Callithrix jacchus: one gene and its partners. Each later gene encodes a partner of the first gene's protein in a complex. Links are inferred from orthologs where the notes say so. Each region holds a gene or a part of one and is shown on either strand. Other genes may lie near its edges. The genes, in order: RBX1, CUL3, DYRK2, KLHL22 and KBTBD4.

Region 1 (4,177 bases):
TGAGTAGCTGGCACTACAGGCGCATGCCACCACACCTGGCTAATTTTTCTATTTTTTGTAGAGATGGGGTTTTGCCATGTTGGCCAGGCTGGTCTCGAACTCCTGACCTCATGTGATCCATCCACCCGCCTCAGCCTCCCAAAGTGCTGAGATTACAGGCATGTGCCACCATGCCTCTAAGAGTGATCTGGCAGTCACACCTCTGCAAGGTTAGAGATGTCAAAGGGAGTCCTGGTCTAGGCAGAAATGGGAGAGTGACACGAAGTACAGGTGCTTGTGCCGGGCGTGGTGGCGTACTCCTGTGAGTACTCACTGTGGGAGGCCGAAGTGTGAGGATCGCCTGAGACCAAGAGTTCGAGGCCAGCCAGGGCAACATAGTGAGACATTGTCTCCATTAAAAAAAAAAAAAGATCAGAATGCCTCACAAAATTCAAGAAATACAGTGACTTCAAGTGGGTTGGTTTCATTATAGCTCAAGCAGCAGACAGAGGACACGGACCGGGAAGAAATCACCCCACGCAGATGACAACTGAGGAAGGGGGAGTGGGGACTGACACGCTATAGTGAAGCCGGGCACCCCAACCAAAGGCGGTCCTAGGACTGCGACTAGGCGGGCGCAGAGGCCACCCCCCAGGCTTCGCGGGCGGGTGAGGGCAGGGCTGGGGGCCTGCTCAGTCTGGCCTTGAGGAGGGCCTTCTGAGGTCTCCCTTCTTCCCATCGAATCCCCGAGCAGTTCCCAAACAGAAATCGGAGACCAGACGGTGCCTGCGCTCCAGCCCTCTCAGGAGGACTGCACCTCGGGCCTGGCTACGAGGCGGGTCAGAGTCTGCGAAAGACCAGCGAGGGCTCTCGGGTTCTGGGGTAGGCGGCGGGTACCCACCCCCGCGCCTTCCCCAGCCCGCACTGGGAGCTGCGCGGCGACCCGGAGAGCCCGACAAGCCGGGTAGGGCTGCGGCGCAGGTCGTGCTCATGCGGAGGAAACAGCCGCCGCCCCAGCTGACGGAGTGTGGTCGGGGGCTTCCCAGAAGAGGCGGCGAGAGCAAACCCTTTCGAACATTTCCACCAGGCTAGCTCACGTAGCCTCGGCCCCGCCCCAGCCACTCCCGCCACCGCCCCCACCGGCCGACACGACGCGGGTGGGGCAATCTGCGCCAGCCCCTTTAAGAGGCGTGGTGACGTGCTCCGCCCCCACCTGCCTCTCGCGCGCCAATAAGGGGTGGGGTGTGGGAGGAGGTGCCGGGAGGCGGGGGAGTGAGGCGTGCACAGTTGCGCAGGCGCGGTGGTCGGACGACAGATCTTGTATTTCCAAAATGGCGGCAGCGATGGATGTGGATACCCCGAGCGGCACCAACAGCGGCGCGGGCAAGAAGCGCTTTGAAGTGAAAAAGGTTGGGTCTCGCCAGCACCTTCCTCAGGGAAGCTAGAGAGGCGCGGATCTGGCTGGCAGGCCCCAGGATGGTCGAGGCGCGGAGTAAAGGGTTTCATTTCAGGGCGTTCCTGGGACCGGGTACCACGAAAGGAAGCCGGGGGGCGGGTCTTAGAGTTGATCGGCGTGACGGTGGCCCACTGTCAGGGACGTGTTGGTTTCGCTGTGAGGCTGAGGGGCCAATCACGGAGCTGCTTATTGAGATACGCGGGGTTGCGATTTGGCGGCAGGAGCCAAGCGCTTGAGCTGTCACTGGAGTGGTCGAGGTGGGGGAAGGACAGGGTGGGGTAGGGTGGGTGAAATGGGGAGTCGGAGTGACTGCGGCGGTGGAGGATGGGGCAGTGCGGCGAAAGCTGGGAACAATCTGAGGTCGTACTGCATTGGAGGCCTCTGAGGGACCCCGCTGGTGATCTTGCCCCGCCCCTTTTTGAAGCTTGGGGTCCTCTCACTTTGAGGAATCCAGACTTGGTGCTCGCCGAACCGAGGCCTCCATTAACCCCATCTCTGGGCCTCACACCGTCTAAAGAGTCTGGAGTGTAGTGCTTGGCTCTTCTGAGACGTCTGTTGTCTTTTCACATAACCATCTCAGTCCTGGGTTCTCTGTCACGTCCAGAATCTCCCCCTTCCAAAATAAAAATAAAAAGCATGGTGGCATTTGTTAAGAAAATCCGAGCCCAAATCCTGTGGCATTTAGGGAGGGTTGAGTACTAGTCGTGAATGACTTGGTAAGAGTGGAAAAGCAAAAATGGAACGTGTCTTTTTATATGAAATGCCTTTTAGTGGTTTGCCACAGTTTGGGGGACAGTGTCGATTCCCACCTAACATGAAAGCTGTTCAAAATGGAGATTCTGAAATAGGGAAGATATTCCTGGAACATCTGGTTAAACACTGACATATCCCCCCTCCTAGTGCTTTTTGGTGTCTCATTGTGGCCACTGCTGCTCAGTTACAGCCAGCAGCCATATTGAAGAATAATAGAAGAGGGGCTTTTCCTCCAAGTTGAAACTGTGATGTGAAAAGTGGGAAAGAAGTTATAAGGCACTGAGAATGGGGTCTGAAAGTGATGAAGGTTTGGCAGTATTCGTAACTGAGGAAGCCAGAGTGGAATAACTGAAATGCCACTTTTAGTTAAACTCTTACTGGAATTATCTCAATACAAGACATAAAAGTTGGGAACATCTGTTTATTTTATGGTAAGAATCAAACAAAATTCTAGTGAATTCTAGAATTTGTTATAAAGTAATCTTCTAAGATTTAAGTGATGACCTTGGTCTGTGTACTGACACGGGTACTTAATTATCCAGCTTATCCCATGATTATCCATTTTATGGTCCCATGATCATCTTAGTTCATTCTGTTCCCTAGCTTTCACCTCACTGCTCATGCTTCCGGAGCTTCCTGGAAGAGCAGATACTCACTCAGATTTTGAGCTCTTCTGCAACTGCCACAAAAACCTGCACAGTAATTCAAGTTTGTGTTTATTAAGCCTACAACGGGCAGTTAAAAATTGTTCCTAATTTGTTTACATTGATACGGCTGACAATTATTTTATTTCATTTTTTTGAGGCAGAGTCACCCTTTTGCCCAGGCTGGAGTAAAGTGGCACCAATGTCAGCTCATTGCAACCTCTGCCCCCGAGGTTCAAGCAGTTCTGCCTCGGCCTGCCGAGTAGCTGGGATTATAGTCAACTGCCACCATGCCCAGCTAAGTTTTGTATTTTTACTAGAGATGAGGTTTTGCCATGTTGGCCAGGCTTGTCTCAAATTCCTGACCTCAGGTGATCCCCTCGCCTCGGCCTCCCAAAGTGCTAGGATTATAGGTACAAGCCACTGTGCCTGGCCACTAACTAAATTGTTTTATTTTATTTTATTTTGAGATGGAGTTGTGCTGTTGTTACCCAGCTTGGAGTGCAATGGCACGATCTCGGCTCACTGCAACCTCCGCCTTCTGGGTTCAAGCAATTCTGCCTCAGCCTCCCGAGTAGCTGGGACATCAGGTGCGCACTACCGTGCCCAGCTAATTTTTGTATTTTTAGTAGAGACAGGGTTTCACCTCGTTGACCAGGATGGTCTCGATCTCTTGACCTTGTGATCCACCCGCCTCAGCCTCCCAAAGTGCTAGGATTATAGGCGTGCTCCTGGCCAAAGTATTTTAAACTATAAGAAACAAAAGATGACTCATTAATTTCTGTGTTGACATACGCAGCCTTTTGGAGAATGGGAGAACATACGTGTAGTCTACCGTTGTCCTTTGATATAATAAGAATAATGTAATATCCAGAAACTTGTGTTTGGTGGTTCCCCATGGCCGAAGAGGTGGTAACTGCAGCTGCAGCATGAAGTCGTAAAGAGTGTGTGTTACAAGGAGAATGCATTGTTCCCTCTTTTTGTCTTTGCAGTGGAATGCAGTAGCCCTCTGGGCCTGGGATATTGTGGTTGATAACTGTGCCATCTGCAGGAACCACATTATGGATCTTTGTAAGTAATTGGAGGAGGATGGGAGAAAGTTGAGAAGGTTACAGAGATTGTGGCTATCTTGATGTGACCAATTTTCTTCTTCACAAGGAGATAGAAGCCTATGCTGAGCACTCGGTCTTCTGTATCTAATCTGTTGATGTGTTGGAAATAGAGTAGTTTTTTTATGATGTCCTGGAAGCATACCCAGCTCTCAGAATAAATCTACTCAATCTAAAGATGGCAGGGACACATTTAGAATGAATTGTGGACAACAGGCACTATTGACTCTTCCTGG
Region 2 (3,609 bases), on another chromosome or scaffold:
TACCTCACATTTTGACCATTTCCGGTTAAGCAACTCATCGATAACAAATTGAAGAGTTTGAACTTACACACACGTTTTTTAAAATTATAGAGATGACCCTTGAACAGTGTGGGCCATAGGGATGCTGATCCCCTGTGTAGTCGAAAGGCCACATAAAACCTTTAACTCCCCAAAAACTTACAGCGTGTGTTGACTGGAAACCTTAGGGATAAAATAAACAATCGATTAGCATATATTTTGTATGTTACATGTATTGCATATTGTATTAAAGTAAGCTAGAAAAAAGAAAGTGTTATTAAGATCATTATATGGAAGATAAAATATAATTTACTGTTCACTAAATGGAAGTGGATCATCCAGGTCTTCATCCTTGTCTTCACATTGAGTAGGCTGAGGAGGAGGAGGAGGAAGAAGGATGGCTTGGTCTTGCTGTCTCAGGGGTGGCAGGGGAGGAAGAAAATCTACTTCATTGACTTGTGCAGTTCAAACTTGTGTTCTTCAAGGGTCAACTGTATGTTATAAAACCGTAAACTTAGAAATTTCTTTATCCTTTTACTGTATCTAATATGAATTACTTAAGTACCATAAATTTATAGTAGCACATCACCAACAAAGTCTCATCTGTAAGCTTTTATCAAAGTACTCATAAGGGTGTATATATAAAACACATATAAGAATATGCATGATTTTTTAGTGCATATTTGCCTTAAAGGTGGTTGACTAAAAAATTACAGACCAATGAGTACTATTGATAGAAATTCACAACAGTGTTCCAAACCCAATTAACTTGCTAAAAGTAAAGCTAAACTGGTACTAGTTTGTAATGAAATGATGATAATAACAATAACTGAGGACCAATAAACATAAGACTGTATTTATAAGGTAACTGTAACCAGGCATCTTTCCTGAAAACCGTAACTCTCTGAGCAATTAGCAGTAGGAATTTTGTAGCGTTGCCGAAACAGATGTCTTAATAGAAAGGTAAAGTGTTTATTCCAGTAATATGCTTTTTAAAAAATAAATGAATACAAAATTTTTAACTCTTAATATAATTCACTAGGTCATTTATGATAGCTATTGGTTAGACAAAAATTGATCTTGGTGAATTTTGGTATCACTTACCCGTAAAGAAAGAAAGAAAGGACTTGCTGCCTTCCCCCCTCCCCCTTCAAATTGTTTTATAGCCCATCAGGAAGACCTTTGTGGCCTGCATTGGTGAGCCTGGACCATGCTTTATTAATTACTAATTTATAATATAGAAAAGGGTCTTTATTTTCTAATATGTCAACTAGTTGCAGATATTTTTGACAGTATTTCTAATCTTTGCATTAGCTTGCATTTTTTTTATTACAGTAGATAACATACTAATAGAAAAATTGTTTATAAATCAAGATTCCAAACTATGCTACAGTGATACTTACATGTATGTATGCATAAAGACATATATGTATTATTTTTAATAGTGGAGAGAGGCAAGATTTTAGTTTGGCGTGTACATGTATATTCTTAGGAACTTGATTATCTCAAGAATTAAAACTGTTAAGAAAGTGAGAGATAGTTGCGAAATTTTATATGTAACTTACATTGACTACGTGTCTTCCAGTATATAATTCTTCAATATAACCATTAAAACTACTATCAAATCTGTTAAAATCAGTTGGGGTAACATTTGCAATTTAGTGGAACTTTTGTAAAGCTGTGTTAGCAGACAATATTAATAGTTATTTTAAAGCTCTTATTTCTCAAACTTTAGTGTATATGTCTACTCGTTTGAGAGTGGGAGTGGGTGGCAGGAAGACTTTAGTAACTAGCAGTATGCCAGCAAAGCTTATGGTAAACATGATGAATCTTTCTGGTTATAATTTTACATTAAACAAATCAAAAGAAGAACATCCCATTCTGTTGGAGTCAGATGCTTCTATACTTTTGACCCTCATTGGTGTGTATTTACTTTTTCTGCTGGTTTTTGGAGTACATTGGCACAGTTTGAAAAACATTGCTTACAGATAAAGTTTTAATTTAGTATTATGTACATACCAAAGCCTTTAAAGGTTATAATTCAGACTATCAATCTTTGTAATGAGAAATTACACAAAATGCTTATAGTACTTATTTTACTTAGGCTGATTTGTTATAAACACTGTAGAAACCCAGCTAAGAGCAAAACCACATTTTTTCTATGTTAAAAATACTACATTTTTAAATTGCAGATGGAAAGCCAGAAATTTTTAGCAGAAAATAGTGCTTCAGTATATATAAAGAAAGTAGAAGCTAGAATTAATGAAGAAATAGAACGAGTGATGCACTGCCTTGACAAATCAACGGAAGAACCAATTGTAAAGGTGGTTGAGAGGGAACTCATTTCCAAGCACATGAAGACTATAGTAGAAATGGAGAATTCTGGGCTAGTACATATGTTGAAAAATGGAAAGACAGAAGGTAAGTGTTACCTATTGAAAATAATAAAATTCTTATTCTGCCATATCAATATTTTTTAAATTTTCCTACAATTAAAGCAGATAATAACAGTTTTCAAGAAGTTGTGGTGTGTGTTGTTAATTTCTCTCCGTTGTTACTCTGATGGGATTTCCAAGCTTGATACTGTCTTACTAATGAAGATTTTAGACATTTCTAATTAATTGAGCATTTCTGGTCTTTCAGTTTAAGTCTCCTCATTTTGTGTTTCTCTTAACCCAGAAGATAAAAGGTGTAATAGTATTGGTGAGGCCAAGGAGCCCCTCATTCGTTCCTGTACTTGTTGTATACCAAACAAAGGGTTTGGGCTCTCTTGTGGTTTTGTGATTATCTTAAAAATCTTAAATTTCCATCTTAAGATTTCTGTAGACTTTCCTTTGGGATTTAGTTATGATAGGGTTCTGAAAATGCAAAAATATTTGTATCTTCCCTATTGATATGTTTAAATAAATTAAATTGGTTTGGGGAACACTGAAGTTACAGAATGGAAAAGGAAGAAGGAGGATTGTATAAAAGCAAAAAACACTTTTGAGGTAAACTATAGCATTTTTTAAATCACAATATTTATTTTCCAGGGGTTTTAAAAAAAAATCGTGAAAAGTATCCTAGAAGAAGTTGTAAATCAAAGAATAATAACCATATCCTCCCTTCTTAGTTTCTGATGCTTTGTTTTAAAACTTTGCCTTTACCACTGATACGGTATTAGGAAATTAAAAAAAAAAAAAAAAAAAAAAATGGTTGTCCTACTTCCTAGATGAAATCTCAGCAATATTTTATCCACTTCCTTTTAGTAAAAGAAATATATATTGCCTTTTGGGGTCATGACCTATGGAGAAAATAAAGAAAGGTTTTTAAAGGAGAATTATAACGAGGAGGAGGATACAAGAGAAGGGAAAAAGAGCTGGTGGGAAGTTGAGCCATGTTTATCTCTAGTGGAATCCTTACCTTGTGTTTTAAAATTGTTACATTGTTGTATATATGATAAATTACTGGAAAGTTATACTTAAAAAATTTTTTTCAGCTAGAGGGGCTTTCTTTTTAAAAGACTCTTCTATTAAACCTTTTTTGTAACAGCAAAAAATAGAAGTCATCTAGTATGTTTGCCATGTTTTCTAAAATTAAGGTTTAAGTCAA
Region 3 (4,058 bases), on another chromosome or scaffold:
AGGAGGTGGCTCCCTTCCGACTGGAGTCTGCACTAGTTCGGGCCTGCACAGTAGGTCCAGCCAGAGACAGTCGGGCGGGGCAGATCATAATGGTCCTGTGACCCCAGGATAACTCAGAAACCAGGCACCTCTCGAGAAGGAAGTGCATGGCATAACTCTGCCCAGTCATCCGGGATTTGTCGGGCTTTCCCAGCTCCCTCCCCTCACTGTTGAAGTGGCAAAACCTGTGTGACCTTTGTACAGAGGCGCACCGTGTGCCACGCAGGACGAGGCGCGGTTGCAAGAAGGGAAAGCAGCTTTTTTTGGTCTCCAAGGAAAAGACAGGTTGCAGATGGCAAATTAAAAAGGCAGGGGAATTTTCCACCGGTCTTGGAAGGAAAGGAGGAAAGAGATGCATGTGAGGGGATGAGAAGAATTCGAGGTGTCGCTCCCTCAAAGCTGAAAGCTGAAAGGAAAATGTGTCTCTCCCAGTGGCGGCGCAGGGGAAAGGCTCGGAGTTGTAAGGAAATGGGAGGTGTCTCTGATGTTTATTTTTGCCTAGCAACCCACAGCCAACTGCTTCCCCAGCTGCCGTCCACACGCGCCTCTGCCTCCTCATGTCCTAGCGACTGGCAAGCGGTCACTTGGTGTCAGTAAACCCGGGAGAGTGTGTGTGGTGGAGGTGGGAGGGCAGACCCTCTTTCGCCCCTGCTCAGGGTCACCGAGCTCAGCGGCGGCCCCTCCCGGGGCTTGATTCTCCGGGGTGACCCCGGCACAACTAAGTTATCTGCGATGAATTGGGGAGAGGGGAGTGGTTAAGCGGCTGGACTCAGAATGGGGGGACGGGGACGCAGTATTGTCTGAGCAGCCATTCGGTTCGAAGAGCTGAAAATGCATTCCTGTTCAGGGGCGCGCGTGGCAGGGGAGGGGTCACTGCGGCGCTTTGGGCCGAAGGGCAGCAGCGGTAGGTTGCGCTGTAGGGCAGAGGAGGGGCGCCGCGGGGGCCAGGGAGGGGAAAAGGTCGCCGGAGGGGAGTCGAGGGGAGCGGTGCAGATGGTCCGAGGAGGCGAGCGGAGGCCGCGGAGTTTTCCGCGGAGTAGAGGGGCGACCGAGCGAGATCCGGGGGCGGGGAGGGGCCGGGCGGGGCCAGGCGGGAGGCCGGGTGGGGGTGGGGTGTGCGTGGCCGGGGCCCCCGGAGCCGGGGGCGGGGCCTGCGGCGGCGGCGAGGGCGGCGGGGGCGGGGCCGCGCGCCCGCGCCTGTGTGTGAGTGCGCGGGGGCGCGCGCGCGCGGGCCGGTGAGAGGCTCCCCAGCGAGTCGGTCTTCGGTCCTTGCGGCGCTTCCAGCTCCCCGCGCTCCTATGTGAGGGAGACGGGGAGGCCCGCGGCGCGCAGGGGAGGGCGAGGCATGTGCACGGCCCGGAGGGTGCTGCGGCCGCCCGAGGAAGAGGAGGACGGCGGCGAGGAGGAGAGCGGGGGGCTCGCGGCGGCGGGCCCGGGCCGAGGGGATGCAGCGGACTGTGTGTGTCTGGCTGTAGCAGACGCGAGGCGGCGACGAGGCGCCGGGGACCCGCGTGAGGGGCGGCCGGGAGACGGCGGTGGCCGCCAGAAGTAGCAGCAGGACCGGCGGCAGCGACGGCAGCCCTGAGATGCATTTTCCTCTCCAGCGGCCATGTTAACCAGGAAACCTTCGGCCGCCGCTCCCGCCGCCTACCCGACTGGTAAGGAGGCCGTGCCCCCACGCCGCTCCCCGGACTCCCGCCGGCCCCGGGCAGCCCCTGTGGCGCTGGCGGCCGCAGCCTGCAGGACCTCTAACAAAGTCGGCCGCACGGCGCGGGGGAGCCCCCGGGCGGACGTCGCGCGCAGCCCCCAAGGCCCCTCCGAGGGGAACCCAACGCCGGACCTGGCTTCTGCCCGCCGGGAGCCCAGGCGGGGACTGTCCAAGCCTGACGCCCCGCCCTGCGCTGCCCGGGGCTTGGCGTGGCCGTGGCGCCCTGCTCAGCTGTCCAAGCCACCTCCCGGCCGCTGGCCGCCTGGAAGGAGGGCCAGCAAGCCCCAGCGCGGCCCGGCTCCCCCACCGGGTCGCGAACTCGCGCGCCAGGGCCTGACCTAACTTTGCAGCTGCCGGCGCCCCGCCCGTGGGTGTGCACTGGGGAGCCGTGACCCGAACGCCCGTTTTTACTGCCCCGGTCTCTTCCTTCGTCTTTCCCTGGAAGAGCGGTGTGGCTGCCCAGTGGGGTGGGAGGGTCCGGGTGACTGTCTCCCCCCTGACCCTCTTTTGTCTCCTCCCGCACGTGGCTTCCAGGCCGAGGAGGGGACAGCGCCGTTCGCCAGCTTCAGGCTTCCCCGGGGCTCGGTGCGGGGGCCACCCGGAGCGGAGTGGGGACCGGCCCGCCCTCCCCCATCGCCCTGCCGCCTCTCCGGGCCAGCAACGCTGCCGCCGCAGCCCACACGGTGAGACCCAGCCCGCGGGCGGCCTGGGCGGTGGGGGCGGGAGGGGCCCCAGGCAGACGCACCCGGACTTGGAGGGTTCTGAGGCCGGGAAAAGAGGGGTCGAGATCCGAGCAGCCCCACGCCCCGGGCCGGTGGCCTCTTCTCGACGCCGCCGTGGTGAACTTGGGCGAGCCCAAAGCTGCAGCCACAAAGGAAGATTCGTGGCGTGGGCCCCTCACTTCCCCTCCGGAGCCCGCCCACCCCTGAGCTCCTCTTCCTAGGAACTTCCTCCTTGCTGCTTTCCTTCTGTCTTTCCTCATTTTTCGTCCTTGCTTCTCAGTGCTCCCTTCCCTGACCCGGTAAACATCCCTGTCCTTCCCCCACATCCCCATGGGTAGTGGGTATTTATAGAAACAGATACGTGTTAGGGGACAGCCAGACCGGCTTGCCCGGAAAATCGATCCCCCAAAGAGCCTCCCAGGCCTGGCTCCAACCAGCAGGGAGCATCGCCAATTGTCCCCCGCGTGTGTAAGCATGTTTTATGAGTGCTACAGGTTTGAGCACAGCAGAAATTGTAATTAACGTTAACAAAAATAAGAGCCGCGGCAGCAGTCAAAACAAGACACCCCTGTAGGATTCTGCAGTTGGACATTATTCAAAATGAAAGGGCAAGCATTGCTTTGGAGATGGGAAGGAAAAGGCACCTAACAGGTGCTGTGCTCTCAGAGGGCCCAGAGGGAGGGAAGAGGCCGGCGTGGGACTAGTTTCTGGTGGCTGCGGAGACTGGCCAGCTGGATTCAGCATGTACCTTTTCTCAGCTCCCAGGGATCACCCTTGGATGGTGATGGCCAGACTGGAGGAGGTCTGCGCTTGGAGGAGGTGCTGGTTTGGAGGTCTTTTTTTTCCAATGGGATCTTCCAGAGGAACAGCCTAAGATGGGTCTATGTGAGGAATGCTTGCTAGCTAGCGATTGGTTTTATATGCCAAGTGAAAGTTGAGTTCTTGAAGAAAAGGCCATCCCCGGCCTACAGGGGAGTAGCTCTGGGGAATCATATGTTATGGGAAAACTTGTTTGTCAGAGGAGAACTGTGAGGGGATGTCTAGACTCTAGTTGCACCTGTTAGACCTGGACAGATGTGTGCAAGTTTCATAGGAAAATGTTTTGTTACTGTTACTATTTTACCTCTTCCCTCTCTGTCTATCTTAACACATCTGGTCTCAGGGGCTGGGAATTCATTGCACAGAAGTTAGCTAATCCGTGTTGGACGTGGATGATAGTAGGATGGATGGTTCTGTGTATTACTGTTAAGTGTTCTTGTCACAGTGATATTTTAGTTAAGGGACTGCTGTTGATTTTAGGGGTTTGGAATTTGTTTTTGTTTGGGATCATCTGACAGTTTGGAAAATGGAATATCCAGTTTTTTTCTATGTGTTGATGTAATCACATGACATGGTGTGAGCTGGGAAAAAAGTATTTGGTTTACATGTGGATTCCAATTTTGTAAGGATGGGCTTTGCTTGATCAGAGCCTCTTTGCAATTGAAAAACATGTAATGAAATTAGACAAAACGACAAGTCTCCACTGGAGGGAGAGCCTGTGGTGTACCAGAAAAGGAAGGATGTGAATGTGCTTCTCAGTACACCTCATA
Region 4 (3,609 bases), about 19 Mb from region 1:
TAGTAGAGATGGGGTTTCACCATGTTGACCAGGATGGTCTCGATCTCTTGACCTCGTGATCCATCCTCCTCGGCCTCCCAAAGTGCTGGGATTACAGGTGTGAGCCACTGAGACCGGCTTATTTTTATTTTTTTTATTGAGATGGAGCCTTACTCTGTCACCCACGCTGGAGTGCAGTGGTGCGAGCTTGGCTCACTGCTCTGCCTCCTGGGTTCAAGCGGCGATTCTCCTGCCTCTGCCTCCTAAGTAGCTGGGACTGCAGGCACGTGCCACCACACCTGGCTAATTTTTGTATTTTTAGTAGAGACAGGCTGCTCTCAAACTCCTGACCTCAGGTGAGCCACTGTGTCCGGCCTGGGAAATGTAAATTAAAGCCATAGTGAGAGAACTACCTCATGATGGCTAAAATAAAAAGCAGTGACAATACGAAATACTGGTTGGTGACTATGCAGGGAAACTATGCTCATGCATTGCTGATGGGAATGTGAGATGGTATAGCCACTCTGGAAAACAGGTCTGGCAGTTTCTTCCAACTATCATGTGACCCAGCAGTTGCCATCCTGGGTATTTATCCCAGAGAAATGAAAACTATTCTGTACACATTAGCTGGGCATGGTGATACGTGCCTGTAATCCCAGCTACTCAGGAGGCTGAGGCACGAGAATTGCTTGAACCTGGGAGGCAGAGGTTGCAGTGAGTCAAGATTGTGCCACCATACTCCAGCATGGGCAATAGATCAAAAACCTGTTTCCAAAACTAACAACAAAAAGTACCTGTACATGAATGTTAATAGTCACTTTATTGGTAGTGGGCAGACACTGGAAACAAACCAGATGTTTCCAGAAGTGAGTGGTTAAACAAGCCATGGTACATACACATGGAATACTACTCAGCAATAAAAAGGGAACTGTTGGTGCATATTCAATACCGATTATCTGAAATTTTGAATCTTTGCATTACAGTTAACTGGTTCAGCATTCCTTGTCCAAAAGTCTGAATTGCTTCCAACAAGCATTTCCTTTGAGTACCATGTTTGTGTTCAAAAAGTCTCAGACTTTGGATGTACTCAACCTGTACATGCCCCAACCCGGTGGAACCTGGGTTGTGGTAGAAAGCCAGTGTTGAAAGATTGTATACTGATTTAATTCAGCCAACACCCTTGAAGTTACAAAAATTGTAGAAATAGAGAAGTGATTGGTGGTTTCCTGGGTTCAAGGAGGGGATTAGGGAAAGGGAAGTAAGTGGGTGTTACCCTAAAGGGTGGCCCCTTGGGATCCTGTTGGTGGTAGAACAGCTCTGTGGCTGTGTTCATGTCAGCATCCTGGTGACACTGATAACAGTAACACAGGCTCTTACCATTGGGGAAAGAGGGCACATGAGACCTCTGTATTATTACTTCCAACTACTTGTTACTCTACACTTATTTCAGAATGCAAAGTTTAATTAAAAAGAAAAACCTCCCAGACCCCTACCAGTGATAGGAGAAAACCCAAACCAAACCCTTGATGTGTGTTCTTCCTTCCCACTGCTCTGTTCAGCTCTCTAGCCTCTTGTTTTGCCACCCGCATAGCCTTGGTGTTACTGACCTGCCTGGTGACATAATTCTGCAGCCTCCACACCCTGAGGGTCTCCTCTACCTCAAAACACTTACAGTCTTGCCTTGGGGCCTTCTGTTGGCCTGCTGGGTGTGAGTGGGTGGGTTCTGAAAGTGGTAGGGTAGGGTGAGGGGTGCCCATGAGGGGGGCAGGCTGCGCCCTATAGAGATAGCCCACCAGAGGGAGTAAAAAGCCCACAGAATGCTCAGGACCAGAATCAAGACCTGTGTTATTTTTCTCCCCACATCATGAGTCAGTAGATGTTATTTCCAAACAGGTTTTGAAAGCAGGTTCAGCAGGCCAGGAGGATTGCATGGTCAGTGGGAGTGGGGGAGGGGTGGAGGCCACTGAGGGCAGGTCAGCAGTCCTCAGCGTTCTGTGGCTTCACCCAGACTGACTTGAAAAACGTGCTTTTATTTTTTTGGAGTTTCCCCATGTAAGGTATTAACTTTAGGGGCAAAGGAAAGACAAAGGTTACATTTGATCTCTGAGTCTACAGATACATCCCCTATTGGAAGAGGTTAGAGGTCAGTGACTAGGACAGTATGTCCAGTGAGAATCGAGGGAACATTCTCGTCTGCATGTGAGGAGGAACTGAGAAGTGGTGAAGCCTCACAGCATTGTCAGGCAGGTGTGGAGTGGTGAGTGGCCTTGACAGAGTCTACCCAGTCACCTTTCCTCACTGCTCTCTCACAGCAGTTCTGGTGGCTCCACACAGGTGTATGCTCACGCTGGTGCGACGCTGGAGGGGAAGATGTATATCACCTGCGGCCGCAGAGGGGAGGACTACCTGAAAGAAACACACTGCTACGATCCAGGCAGCAACACTTGGCACACACTGGCTGATGGGCCTGTGCGGCGCGCCTGGCACGGCATGGCGACCCTTTTCAACAAGCTGTATGTGATCGGGGGCAGCAACAACGATGCTGGCTACAGGAGGGATGTGCACCAAGTGAGTGGGGCCTGGGGCTGTCCACACCCATCATCGTTCCCAACCATCTCAGTTGCTGTGGATGGAAAATATGATTGCAATATGTGCCTTTTTAAAATAGACTTTTTCAGAGCAGTTACAGGTTCACAGCAAAATTAAGTGGAAGGTACAGTTTCCATACACCCCCTTTTCCCCCATACACTTACAGCCTCCCCACTGCAGATCTCTCACTCCAGAGGTGAGGGATGTCTCACAGTTGTTGAGACTGCATCACTTTTGGCACATTCTGTAAGTTTGGACAAATGTCACCGTGACAGTATCATACACATACACTTCTACCTTTTCTTATTATTATCAAAAACTTTTAGGCCGGATGTGGTGGCGCAGGCCTATAATCTCAGCTACTTGGGAGGCTGAGGTTGGAGGATGGCTTGAGCCCAGGTCAGAGGTTGCAATAAGCTGAGATCATGCCACTGCATTCCAGCCTGGGCTTTAGGCCGAGGCATGATGGCACAAACCTGTAGTCCCAGTTACTCGGGGGGCTGAGGTGGGAGGATTGTTTAAGCCTACATTGAGCTATGATCACACCACTGCTCCCCAGCCTAGGTGACAGAATGAGACCCTGTCTCTATTAAAAAAAAAAAAAAACAAACTTTGATTATAAAGTTAAGGTAACCACACTGCAGGAACTTTAAAAAATAGAGAAAGGTGTCTGGGCGCAGTGCCTCACGCCTGTTATCTCAACACGTTGGGAGGCTGAGGTAGGTGGATCACAAGGTCTAGAGTTCGAGACCAGCCTGGCCAAGATGGTGAAACCTTGTCTCTACCAAAAATATGAAAATTAGCCAGATGTGGTAGCAGGTACCTGTAATCCTAGCTATTCTGGAGGCTGAGGCAGGAGAATTGCTGGAACCCGGGAGGTGAAGGTTGCAGTAAGCCAAGATGACGCCACTGCACTCTAGCTTGGGCGACAGAGCAAGACTTTGTCTCCAAAAAAAAAAAAAAAAAAAAAAAAGAATGAGATGAGGAAAAACATTCATAATCAGGCCCTGCAGCACTACTTTTCAGTATGATCATTTTCGG
Region 5 (4,116 bases), on another chromosome or scaffold:
TTTAAAGATGTGAACCACTTTATTAGACTACCACTGGGCATGCATATATATATATATATACACACACACACACACATACATGAAATTAGCCTAAAATTGCCTTTTTTTTTTTTTGAGGCAGGGTCTCACCCTGTCACTCAGGCAGGAGTGCAATCATGGTCATCATAGCCTCAACCTCCCAGGCTCAAGCAATCTTGCTTCAGCCTCCCAAGTAGCTGCGACTACAGGTGCATGCCACCAGGCCTGGCTATTTTCTTATTTTCTGTAGAGACAAGGTCTCACTATGTTGTCCAGGCTGATCTTAAACTCCTGGTATCAAGCGATCCTCCCTCCTTAGCCTTCCAAAGTGCTGAGATTACAGGCATGAGCCACTATGCCTGGTGTGCCTTTCCTTTTTTTAAAGATTGTCTCAGGTGTTTTATGAGGCCTCAAAAAATTGGGTAAAGACTCATAACTGTTCCTTTCCATGGAAATCTTTAGTAAAAGGCAAAAGATTTATACAATCTGGCTGGGCGCGGTGGTTCAAGCCTGTAATCCCAGCACTTTGGGAGGCTGAGGCGGGTGGATCACAAGGTCAAGAGATTGAGACCATCCTGGTCAAAATGGTGAAACCCCGTCTCTACTAAAAATACAAAAAATTAGCTGGGCATGGTGGCGCATGCCTGTAATCCCAGCTACTCAGGAAGCCGAGGCAGGAGAATTGCCTGAACCCAGGAGGCGGAGGTTGCAGTGAGCCGAGATCGTGCCATTGCACTCCAGCCTGGGTAACAAGAGCGAAACTCCGTCTCAAAAAAAAAAAAAAGATTTATACAATCTGAAGAGAAACCAGAGTATGTACCCTGTTTTTTAAAATCAAAATAGATGGCTTGATATGCTCCCATCTGCCATGGAAGCAACCTAGCAGGCTGTAGACCTCACACTTTTCTTTTTTTTTTTTTTTTTGGAGATGGAGTTTCACTCTGTCGCCCAGGCTGGATTGCAATGGCGCGATCTCGGCTCACTGCAACCTCCACCTCCCAGGTTCAAGCAATTCTCCTGCCTCAGCCTGCTGAGTATCTGGGATTCCAGGCATGCACCATCATGCCCAGCTAATTTTTTTGTATTTTTAGTATTGGCAGGTTTCACCATGTTGGTCAGGGTGGTCTTGAACTCCCAATCTCAGGTGATCTGCCCCCCTCAGCCTCCCAAATTGCTGGGATTATAGGCATGAGCCACTGCGCCTGACCACTTTTATTTTTTTTTTTTGAGACAGAGTCTTGTTCTGTTGCCCAGGCTGGAGTGCAGTGGGGCAGTCTGGGCTCACTACAACCTCTGTCTCCGGGTTCAAGTGATTGCCCACGCCTGGCTGAGCTCACACCTTAAATATGGTTGTATCTCACTTGCTGGATCAGGATTATTTCCTATTTTTAGCCCATCACTAAAAAAGTTTTTAGGCCGGGCTCAGTGGGCTCATGCCTATAATCCCAACACTTGGAAGCCGAGGTGGGTTCTTGGCACTTGAGGTCTGGAGTTTGGGACCAGCCTGACCAACATGGAAAAACCCTGTCTCTACTAAAAATACAAAACTAGCCAGATGTGGTGGCACATGCCTGTAATCCCAGCTACTTGGGAGGTTGAGGCAGGAGAATTGCTTGAACCCAGGAGGTGGGGGTTGCAGTGAGCTGAGATCACGCCAGTGCACTCCAACCTGGGCAACAAGAGCTGAACTCTGCCTCAAAAAAAAAAAAAAAAAGTTTTTAGTCTTAGATATTTTGCCTCATCACCAATTTACATAGGTAAGTGGACCCAGAGGGACATGCAAAGTACAGGAGTAAGTAGAGTATAATACAAATTACTCCTCACTACTTTGTGTGTGGTCAAGTGTTGTGCTTTCAGTTTCCTGGCTTCTTCCTCTAACACTGTCTCTGACATCAATTACAGTGAATCCCAACTCAATCTCTCTGGGCAAGTTATCTCAGTAAGAATGTAGGAATAATAATGTAAACTAACACCAGGAAGTTTGATGGTTTCTTTCTCCTAGACTAGAACATTCACTAAACATCATAGCCAAGTGACTGGGTATGATGTGTCCCTTCCCTAAACTTACCCGAGATGATATCTGTAAGTAGGTGGTGGGGCAAGTGGAGAAATTCCTCTGTATTCTGCAGCTGGGCCAGGTGGGTCTTGGCACAGTGTTTGGCAGCAGTATAGAGCTCAGGATCACTGTGCCGATCTGCCAGCCACATCACCTGAAGGCAGTTTCCCACTTGCACTGTGCGGGCCAAAAACCGAGAGCATTCCTCAAAAAGAGATGTCAGCTGATACATGTCTGACACCTCATAAATTTCCTGTAACTCTTCAGCTCGAAGTTTCACAGTCCCATGGTAGATATAATCAACCAGGAGCTGGAAAACAGACTCGCTGACATCCTGCAGCACAATCACTCGGTTGTGGGCCTCCTTCAGGTTGGAAGTGAACATAGATCGAAAGAAGCAGCTCTGAGCTGAGAGGACCAGCCGATGGAGCTGAAACTCCCGACCTTCCACCGAAATGGTGACATCAGCAAAGAGCTCCTCCTCTAGACATAGTTTCATGATGCCTTGAGCCACACGGCCTGAGTGTGACCGATCTTTGAACGTGTAGTTCACAAAGTAGTTTTCATCCATGGATGCTCCAGGCTCCTCTGGTGATTCCATGCTAGCCAATTTCTCTCTCTGCCAGCTGTCTGCAAAGCAACACCACCTTGAGTAACTTGAGGAATTCACAGCCATAGTCTGTGAATCCAACTGGCCAACTCAGTAAGGGAAAAGGAAAAAGTAAGAACAAAGTGGGTCCAGATTGCCCTTAGTCCTGGCCCTGCCCATGATGTCCCTGATGCTATCCTTTAACCAGAGCTGGGTTCATTCTCTCCAGTGGTGTCCCTCCGCTAACGAAATAAATCAAAGTTCCAACTCTGGGTGTTTTCCTGAAAAAACACGGAATAATTCCTTTCCGTGATGTTAACAAAGGACTTGGGATTTAGGTCAATATATGACAGCAAAGGGCTGGGGAAGGTCTGTGAACGTAAAAGCCTAACCAAATAACTGGGGCATAGAACTGGTGAAGCTCAGGGTCAGTAGAATCAGACAAAAAGGACTCCCTGCCCCGGCTTAGTGGCCAGGTCCTCTCTTGCCCCGCGCATGGAGTTCAGACGCTCCAATATGAGGCCTAATCTGGGATATCCGTCGGTCTCACATTTGCTCTCTTCTGGGCTGCTTCCCCTACACTTTCCTGCTCGCTCGAATGACTCCCTGTGGCTGCGTCCCAGAACTCCAGAGTCCAGCCGCCCCCAGGCCGGGGCACTAGGAGGCCCATCGCCCAGTTGTCCCCGCTCCACCTAAAGTCGCCTGGGAAACGGTCGCCAGGGAAACCGTTCTTACTGCTCAGGCCCGCCAGCCCTCGTCAAAAGCTTGGCTCAGAGACCGGGGGAGGAGTGTGGAGCGTAGAACTTAGAAAGCCCGGCCCCTCCCATCCTCTCACCCGTCTGGTTCTTCAGCATCCTCGCCTTCTCTCCAGGCTCTGCCACACGGAGCTAGGACTACGCTCACCCCACGGTTCCCCTACCTGCCTGTCTCGCTTTCTCACCTGCGTTCCCTCCTTTCATCCCGGATCCCGGAACCTCTGCTTCCGGCTCCACGTCCGCCCGGAAGAAGATCTGCTGCACATTTCCGCTTCCGGTCCGTGCCCTTGCGGCTTCGTGTCCTGCGGTCTTGTCTTCCGCTGCCTTGTGTCCGGGGAACATGGCGACGTTGGCAACCAGATTTTGGTGGCGCGGGATCGTGGGGGCCGCGGCGCTGACCAGAGGTGAGCAGGGGCAGCCAGCTGAGACCAGGGTCAGGAGCAGCGGCGCGCCCAGCGGAGAGAGCTCCTTAGGCCTCACCCCGTGCTTTTGTGCCTTTTAATCTCCCTGTGCAGGGGCTGGGCGACCCTTGGTTCTGCTGCCGGTGAGGCGTGAGAGTGCCGGGGCCGACACGCGCCGTGAGTATGTGCGGGCAGCGCTCTTCTTTGAACTACTGGCGGGGGGCTCTAGATGCCTGTCCTTGCCCTAGGATGCCCTTCCCTGCGTCCTCCTGGCAAATCTTGGGAGACCTAACTGCA

The links.
Region 2: RBX1 (region 1) and CUL3 share a complex: the UniProt entries of both Homo sapiens proteins name them as parts of the BCR(ARMC5) E3 ubiquitin ligase complex. The link is inferred for Callithrix jacchus from reciprocal best matches to the Homo sapiens genes RBX1 and CUL3.
Region 3: RBX1 (region 1) and DYRK2 share a complex: the UniProt entries of both Homo sapiens proteins name them as parts of the E3 ligase complex. The link is inferred for Callithrix jacchus from reciprocal best matches to the Homo sapiens genes RBX1 and DYRK2.
Region 4: RBX1 (region 1) and KLHL22 share a complex: the UniProt entries of both Homo sapiens proteins name them as parts of the BCR(KLHL22) E3 ubiquitin ligase complex. The link is inferred for Callithrix jacchus from reciprocal best matches to the Homo sapiens genes RBX1 and KLHL22.
Region 5: RBX1 (region 1) and KBTBD4 share a complex: the UniProt entries of both Homo sapiens proteins name them as parts of the BCR(KBTBD4) E3 ubiquitin ligase complex. The link is inferred for Callithrix jacchus from reciprocal best matches to the Homo sapiens genes RBX1 and KBTBD4.

Annotation. Positions count from the first base shown.
Region 1 is NC_133502.1:191,768,096-191,772,272, forward strand, and holds the start of RBX1 (E3 ubiquitin-protein ligase RBX1), read left to right. Parts: upstream 1-1,289; 5' UTR 1,290-1,310; coding exon 1,311-1,388; intron 1,389-3,824; coding exon 3,825-3,903; intron 3,904-4,177. UniProt on the Homo sapiens protein: E3 ubiquitin ligase component of multiple cullin-RING-based E3 ubiquitin-protein ligase (CRLs) complexes which mediate the ubiquitination and subsequent proteasomal degradation of target proteins, including proteins involved in cell cycle progression, signal transduction, transcription and transcription-coupled nucleotide excision repair.
Region 2 is NC_133507.1:146,241,620-146,245,228, reverse strand, and holds part of CUL3 (cullin-3), read left to right. Parts: intron 1-2,210; coding exon 2,211-2,439; intron 2,440-3,609. UniProt on the Homo sapiens protein: Core component of multiple cullin-RING-based BCR (BTB-CUL3-RBX1) E3 ubiquitin-protein ligase complexes which mediate the ubiquitination and subsequent proteasomal degradation of target proteins.
Region 3 is NC_133510.1:51,480,730-51,484,787, reverse strand, and holds the start of DYRK2 (dual specificity tyrosine-phosphorylation-regulated kinase 2), read left to right. Parts: upstream 1-1,238; 5' UTR 1,239-1,648; coding exon 1,649-1,697; intron 1,698-2,281; coding exon 2,282-2,430; intron 2,431-3,133; exon of another isoform or gene 3,134-3,288; intron 3,289-4,058. UniProt on the Homo sapiens protein: Serine/threonine-protein kinase involved in the regulation of the mitotic cell cycle, cell proliferation, apoptosis, organization of the cytoskeleton and neurite outgrowth. Functions in part via its role in ubiquitin-dependent proteasomal protein degradation.
Region 4 is NC_133502.1:210,359,219-210,362,827, reverse strand, and holds part of KLHL22 (kelch-like protein 22), read left to right. Parts: intron 1-2,313; coding exon 2,314-2,547; intron 2,548-3,609. UniProt on the Homo sapiens protein: Substrate-specific adapter of a BCR (BTB-CUL3-RBX1) E3 ubiquitin ligase complex required for chromosome alignment and localization of PLK1 at kinetochores.
Region 5 is NC_133511.1:112,633,272-112,637,387, forward strand, and holds the start of KBTBD4 (kelch repeat and BTB domain-containing protein 4), read right to left. Parts: upstream 2,856-4,116; 5' UTR 2,751-2,855; coding exon 2,087-2,750; intron 524-2,086; exon of another isoform or gene 406-523; intron 1-405. Other genes in the region: NDUFS3 (NADH dehydrogenase [ubiquinone] iron-sulfur protein 3, mitochondrial), read left to right, coding at 3,759-3,822, 3,934-3,996. UniProt on the Homo sapiens protein: Substrate-specific adapter of a BCR (BTB-CUL3-RBX1) E3 ubiquitin ligase complex which targets CoREST corepressor complex components RCOR1, KDM1A/LSD1 and HDAC2 for proteasomal degradation.